Mus musculus: one gene and its partner. The main gene of each other region encodes a partner of the protein of the gene in region 2 in a complex. Links are inferred from orthologs where the notes say so. Each region holds a gene or a part of one and is shown on either strand. Other genes may lie near its edges.

Region 1 (3,646 bases), on a different chromosome or scaffold from region 2:
CCCACCCATTCAGGGCAATGGACCCAGAGTTACCTCTCTCAGATTTTGCCCCTGCAGGGGGTAGTTTTCTCTGCGGTTGCTTGGAAGCTTAAAAAGAAAAAAAAATCCACAGACAGCCTCATTATAATCAGGTTCACAGGAGTCTCTCTGAGTACTTCAGGTGACAGCAGCTGGCTGGTCTGCCTAGCATAAGAGACAAGCAGGGACAGATGCTGGGACCAGTAAGGAAGATGTAGCCAATCAGCACGGAGCCACCTAAGCACAGGTGAGCCTGGAAGAGCCCCTGCTCCAGGCTATTGTGGGAGTGAGACCAGCAAGGCGTTAAGGGTGAAGTGCCACAACTGAACCCCACTTAGCACATCATTAATGCTCCTAGACCATCAGTGTATGAGAAACACACACACACACACACACACACACACACACACACACACCAGAACCACAGCTGCTTAGGGAAAACACAGCCAATTCTCAGGCAACACCCTTTACAATACCAGAAGCATGCAGCAGGCAATACGGGCTGCCTCTGCCAAGAGAACAGGGACACTAAGAGCCAGGCTAGACACAGGGGCCCACAGGCCTCCTGGGTATTACCAGGGAGCAATGCAGGCCAGGCAACAGAGTCACAAGGCATCCAAAAACCCTTCTGGGAGCAGGTCCTCAGGGCTTCTATTCCTGGTATCTCTATTAGACGTGAAACAGCCCCACTGTAGCCTGGCCAGGTTCTTAATGCCAACTGGCTTTTATTCACAGGAGACTGGAGTAATGACCGTAGCACGCCATCACTCAGCTATGACCCTTGAGCTTTACTAGAAGGTTCCTAACAACCCAGCTGCGTGACATTGAGATGTTGGAGATTCCCCCACGGTTTCCCGCCCAGACTACTGATCCTCCAAAGAGGTAGGGGACCTGATAACACTTTATGCTGGGGCTGCCTCCCCAGAGCCATGGATTAGAGGCCATGCTCCTTTCTCCAATTTATTAATCACGTGACTGCATTTTCCTCATGCTTGAAAAATGAGCAAGATCTCTTCACCAATTAAAAGGCAAGGACTCACTAGCTACCTCAGACAATTGTCAAAGGATTAAAAAGAAGACAAACCACAAGGGTTAGTAGGTGCCAGGGGTTACGAATTGTCAGTGGCCTCCTGAGGCAAGGGTTGTACCTTCTGGAAGCTTCTGGATTAAAACTCCAGAGAGTAGTCTCACCTGACCCTGGAGGAGTCTTAGGGCTGGGCGTGGTCTTGGCCGGGATCCTGGTGGCGTTGGACGTGCCCTTCTGGGCCGGAGAGGCTGCTCCCCGAGGTGTGGCGATCTTCGCCCCGGTTTTGCCATCAGCGCCCTGTAAACCGAATCAGGGTGGAAGGTTTTCACCACTGGGAAAGGTGACCGCCACCAAGGAAAAGTCAGCCCCATCCTCCCACCTTGACTGAAGAGGGTGATGGTGGAGACAGATGCTGAGAAGGCCTTGTACAAGTCTTGAGGGCTTGTGGAGCACACAGCCCCACAGTTCACCTGCATGTCAAGTACCAGGATCTTCTTAGACGCATGGTGAGCTAGCCTGTGTTATAAAATGACAGGACTGCTTGAAGCAAGATCAGGGTCAGGGTAGATCAGTAGGCTGACCCTGGAAGACCACACCTGGTGGATGGACACCCATTTTTCAGACTCTTAAGTATAGATGTAACTGACTGACGGAGACTGGGTTCAACAGAGGCCACTGAAGACCCACATGTGCTTCAGGCCTCAGAAGAACTCACAGACGGCCAAACCATGTCTTTTTCGGCTCTCTCCACAGCCCCTGGGGACTCGGCCATGAACAATGGCTGAAAGCTGGGAGCTTGAGGCAGAGCAAACACAGCCAGCCAGCAGACTGTGAGTGGCTATGGGTCTCATGGTCAGTAGATGACCATCAGACATGGCATGAGCTACATAAAGAAACCACAGACTCGGGAGGAAGGGAGGAGAGAAGGGACTGTCGGGATGAATGGGTGCAACTGGAGGACACGCCACCCACCACGAGGCGTGGCCAGTTACCGTAAGAATTCTAGGTGGAGCTGAGACTTTCTTTATCATGTACTTATTCATCTATTCATTTTTAAGAGGAAGAGACTTTCTACATATTACTGGCCATCTAGGCAATTGCGGTGAGCCTCCTGCCTCTTACTCCAGGGTGCTGGGATTATGAGCACTACCACACCTGGTTTCTTTCTTTATTTCTCAAGCTAGAACCTCACTCACACTGTAGCCCAGGCTAGCCTGGAGCTCACTGTATAGCTCAAGCTAGCTTCTGACTTACGGAAATCATGCTCAGTGCCGGGATTGGTTATAGGCATCAGTTACCATGCTCAGCTCAGAGCCCTAATTTACAAACTCGGATCCCCTGGTTATCAGGGACTTCTATCTCCAGGGAAGAGGGAGGCACAAAGCAGGGCTCCGAGTCCCCAGTGCCTTCCCTGGTCCTTCAACCATGTAGCACTGCCTGTGAGTTTAGCTGAAGAAAGCATTTGAACACCACGGTACAGCAGCCTGGGTCTCGCCAAAGTTGGTTTCCTTACCTTGAGTTTCATCTGCTTTGTTCCAGGACTGCCATTTCGGGGTGTGACAGAAGAGACGTGTTTAGGAGAGGTGGCTGGTTCAGGGCACACGGCAGGGCTGGAGGGTTTGATCAAAGGGTCTGAGCTACCAAGAGTGGGGCGTGTGGGGCTAAGGCAGGGCCTATGGCTCGGGGCTTTAGCACAGGAAGGTGTGGATGTCTTAAACATAAACATAAATAAAATCAAAATGAAAGTCAGCACACGGGGAATGGAAACAAATGGAGAAAAGGATAAACAAAATCTCAACACAAAGAAGGCGAGTCACAGCTCAAAGCAGCCCTCTCCACCGCCCTTCCAGTAAGAAAGGACGGCAACTCTGCCCTCTTGGGCACCCATCAGCTACGCGCATGCTACACAGCTGATGTGGGATGGGCATGACTGAAAGTGACATGGCGTAGGACTTGTAAGAGGGAGGTTGAAGCACAGGCAGACGTGCGGCTACGTTCTTTCCTTAGCAATTGGACCTTGTTGTAGGTCCGACTTGGAGAGTGCTGGCCTAAAGGTGTTTCCCACTTAGTAAAGCAGGTGGAGACCGCCAGAAAAGAGGCAGCAAGATTTTCTCAAGAAAGAATGTTACTGTGACGTGGGTCAGAGGCTCAACCTCAGGAGAAGCACTTATGCAGGCTCACTAACACCCTACCCTCTCGCTCTACTATGCCCAAAAAACACCAAAAAGCCAAACCCTAATACTTCAAGGAGGATTGTGCCAGAGTCAACCAAAAGCTTCTGTCAGATGTCACCAAGGACTGACAGACAGACAGACAGACAGACACACACATACATACACATGTGCTCACATGCACACGCGCGCATGCACACACACACACACACACACACACACACGTATGCATGAATGCACACACATATGCACATGCATAGACACACATACTTTCTGATTAAACAAAGACTCAAATCTAATTAACGCCATTGATGGAATCTTGGTCTGGTCAAAATTAACCTCAGAACATTCTACCTAAGGAAATTGGTGTCTATGTGGCTGGATGTCTTCCGAGAAGGATCTAGCCAGAAGGCTGACAGCTGACATCATG
Region 2 (3,746 bases):
TTTACTTCTCATTTCTTCAACAATTCCAAGAGCAAAATTCTAAATCATATAGTGATCCCACAAAATACACTTTAATGAAAAGTCACAACCTGAATGCACTAAGTGTAGGAATAAAGAGTCACTGCCGCCCACCATGGAAATTCTTTCCTTTACCTTTCCAGAAAGGACCTCTTTTTGGTAGCCAAATGAGCAGTGTCCAGAACAGAAACACGGATAGGGCTAGCTTAAATTCGAGACACAGTACCTTCCGTGCATTAACTATTTAAAATTTGTGAACCCATACTTCCCCCGGGGTCTCGAAATCTAACATTAGAAACGGTCACTGGTAAATGTTGCTTCCAAAAATGATGTAAGCCTAAGTCAGTACAAACGTTCCCCCGCCAACCTCCCGGATAAGGGGAAGTGGATTAGGTTTCTCACAGGAAAACGAGCGCTCCTGGGCCTCGCCTTCAGACTGCGGGAATACTCGCCGCACCCACTTAACCCTTGGCTGCCTGAGGCCGGAGGGTGGGGCGAACCGAAACCGCGCAGCGGTGACTTTAAAGCGCTAGTCCTTGCGTCCGCGCCATCCGCAGCCACCTCCCCTCCTTGGCTCCGCCCAGGCTGGTGCCTCCGCGCTAGTCCCCGACTCTCTTTGTCATGGCGGAACTGTGTCAAGGAGCCCAACCTACTCCGACTGTGAATCGCCCCCCCACCCGGGCAGAGGGAGGAGCAGTCCGTGCACCCGCCCCAGTCGGAGGGTGGTGGTGGAGGGGGAGCAGATCACCCTCCCCGGGGGCCCGATGCCATCCGCGCCCGCAGAAGCGGAACCGCGGCCGGCCCGCGCCGGACACACCCCGCTCCCGCCCAGGGTCCCCTCCGCCGGTGTCCGACCCAAGCCCCGATGTCCCGACAGCTGCGGTAGGGGGAGGGGCAGGGCCCCACCCAGACAGGCGCAGCCCCCATCCTGGGGCCGCAGCTCCTGGAAAGATGCGAACCTCCCACCAGCCCAGGACGCTGGGGACCCCGTGCCCCGGTACCCCCACGCCTAGCTCTGGCCGCGCCCCTCCCCCACCGCGCGTCCCGAGAGTCCTTTCTGGCATTGCGGGCCCCAGCGAGCCCAGCCCAGGGTCCCTGGCGGGCCCCACCCCAGAGCCCCGCGTGCTACCTGGCTGCCCCCCGCCGTGGGGGAGGGGGTGGCGGGGGCGCCCCGGGTGGGGGCGGCCTCACCTGCGCCACGGCCGAGTCACAGTCGCGGGCGGAAGCAGGGTGCCGGCGGGGGCGGATCGCGGTCGCCCTCGGGAGCGGGAGCCCCTGGGTCTCGCGCGTGGGCGCCTCATCCGCCACCCCCACCCCGGGGACCAGAACGGGGCGATGAGCAGCCCGGCAGGCCAGAAGCAAGCGGCCGGGGGCGGCGGTGGGCGCCTGCCCGGGCCCGGCAGAGCCGAGCCGCCGCCCGGGTCCTCCTGAGAAGACCCCTCTCGGGCCGCAGCGCGGCGGCGGGCTGAAGGGACCGGAGGCCGACTCGGGCGGCTCCTCACCTGTGTCCGGAGTGGGTGGCGGCACACGGACGCGGCTCGGCGGTCTCTGGGCGGCGGCGGCAGCAGCGGTGGCGGCGAGGCTGAGACTCTGTCCCTGATCTGGCTGCTCACAGGCTACAGCCGCTCCGCAGACACGGGGTTTCCTCCAATCACTAGCCCCGGCAGCAGGGGCACCACACGCACGATGACGTCAAACGCTGCTATGGCAACCGTTGATTGGTGCCCACAGTTCTCCGGCCCGGCGCAACCGCCGCTCCCCTGCGCGCGCCCGGCCGGCCCGCCCGTGCCCGAGGGCGAGCGGAGGAGAGCGCGTACTCGCGCTCCGCTCCGCTCCCGACCCTGCCTTCACCCGCGTGCTCGGTTCGCTCCCCGCCGCCCCCGCGAGCTGCCCTCCCTCCCCGCCCCTGCGGCCCGCGGAAGGAAGCCTCTCCCCGCCCCCACCTCACTGGCGGGCACATCCGGGACCTTCGCGTTCCCCCCCACCCCCTTCCCGCTCGGCCGCCCTCTCTCTGCGCCGGTAATGGCGGTGGGCGGGTTGCGGGGCAGGGTGAAGGCAGCTCTACTGCCAGGGCATTGTGATCAGAAGCCGAGAGTAGGGCAGCGGCTCCGCCAACGCCGGGGCAGGGAGGCCCGGGCGCGGCTGCTCCCTCGGGCGGCCCGCTTTACCTTCTGGCTGCAGGAAGCGGCCTTAGACCTTTTAAGGCTGGGAAAAGCGCGAGGCTGAATGACGCCCTGCCTTTCCAGTCGCGAGCTCGGCGTCCACACCGTGACAGCCGCGGGGACAATGGGTGGTCGCTGGGAGGAGCGGGGAAAGGGTTGGGCTAGCGGGTTGGACGTGATCGTAGAAGCCTGACGTGGGGCGAGGCGGGGAAACAGGCTAGAACACACCGAACTGTTGTCGTGGGCTGCACTTTACCCTCTGTAGAGCTTTCATTGGGAGACACATTGTTCCTAATTAGCGCATTGTAAGAGAGTGACCGACCCTTTTAGGTCCTGGAAGCAAGGTTAGGGAGCGTGGCCGTTCCTAGGGCTCTAGCTGGAGGAGGAGCGAGGCTCCTCCGCCCGGAAAGGGGGGGGGGGGAGGAAAAGGGCGGAAATTGCAGGTGCCTGAACCCGCAAGGTCTCCACCCAGGAGACGGAAGTTGAAAGGAGATGCAGTCTCTATGAAGAATCTGTCCTTGCTCTCTTTAAATGTGCGCCTCTGAGCTAAAATATTTTCACTGAGCCCCTTCTGGGGCCTACACTAAGCACAACTGGAAAAAGAACCTCAGGAATTCAGCCCCAGAGCCCCCTGGAAGACTTCATGACAAGCATTCTTTCCCTACCACTGTCTTTCATCAGAATGTTGGTTACATTGTTTGAATCACAAGTTTGTTGTACAAATTATAATTTGCCTGAAATGACAGCTAGGTAGAGATTTGCCTGTGACCAGTTCAGTGTCGCTCCCCTCGCCAACCGCCCTCCCCCCTCCCAACACACACACCGGTTTCCACAGCAACAGATAACATGCTAAGCAGATGAGCAAATTAATTCAGGTTTTATCTCCAAGATACTGAAGTCAACTTACTTTGGCTGTAATGTAAATTCTTTCAGGGAGTGACTCACTTAAAATGACTATTTCAAAAGCTTTTATGTTTGCAGTTTTGTAGTAGGTGCTAGAAATTTGACAGAAGATACTAGGTTAAATCTTTTGTAAAATGGAAATGTCTGTTAATGTCTGTAATACACGTCTATATGGAATATACACCTCAGGGAAAGTTAAGAGATTTCTCTGCATAAATTGCAGACTTGTTTTGGAAAATAGTTTGGGCTTTTGCCTTGTGCATTAACTAGCAAGGTTTCTTTGTGTTTTAATAAACCAAAAGGTGCTTTTAGTTTTTACAAACTCCAATCAACATGTTTGCCTAATAAAGGCATAATAAGGCTGCAAGGGGGCCAGAATTAGATTTGCCATGGAAGGTCAACTGAGAAGAATTCTAAAGAATAATATGTAGCAAAGCCAAAACCCAGAGCCTATAGGCCTGAAGTATGGGGAAGTTACTGGTGAGTTTGATTAGCTGCCCAATTGTCTTCCTGTCTTCTTTACTTGGGTCTTACTTCATGCAGTTGATGTCTCCGCTATACTTTGATAGGCACAGTAGTAAAATATCAGCAATAAAAGTACTACCATCTGTGGCTGAGGAATGCATGTGTGTTTTCTCCATGTAGTTTACTGTAATTACATTT

The links. Proteins that work in one complex are often made in the same cells at the same time.
Region 1: the proteins of Ywhaz (region 2) and Mapt are in contact, whole or in part, in a crystal structure (PDB 8QDV), measured with the Homo sapiens proteins. The link is inferred for Mus musculus from reciprocal best matches to the Homo sapiens genes YWHAZ and MAPT. Residues at the interface, in NP_001129171.1 of Homo sapiens: Glu14, Leu43, Ser45, Val46, Lys49, Arg56, Arg60, Lys120, Arg127, Tyr128, Glu131, Gly169, Leu172, Asn173, Val176, Glu180, Ile217, Leu220, Asn224; in NP_058519.3 of Homo sapiens: Ser637, Cys639, Gly640, Ser641, Leu642, Asn644, Ile645, His646, His647.

Annotation. Positions count from the first base shown.
Region 1 is NC_000077.6:104,304,322-104,307,967, reverse strand, and holds part of Mapt (microtubule-associated protein tau), read right to left. Parts: intron 1,343-3,646; coding exon 1,210-1,342; intron 1-1,209. UniProt on the Homo sapiens protein: Promotes microtubule assembly and stability, and might be involved in the establishment and maintenance of neuronal polarity.
Region 2 is NC_000081.6:36,791,959-36,795,704, forward strand, and holds the start of Ywhaz (14-3-3 protein zeta/delta), read right to left. Parts: upstream 2,581-3,746; 5' UTR 2,187-2,580; exon of another isoform or gene 1,962-2,186; intron 1,721-1,961; exon of another isoform or gene 1,718-1,720; 5' UTR 1,521-1,717; intron 1-1,520.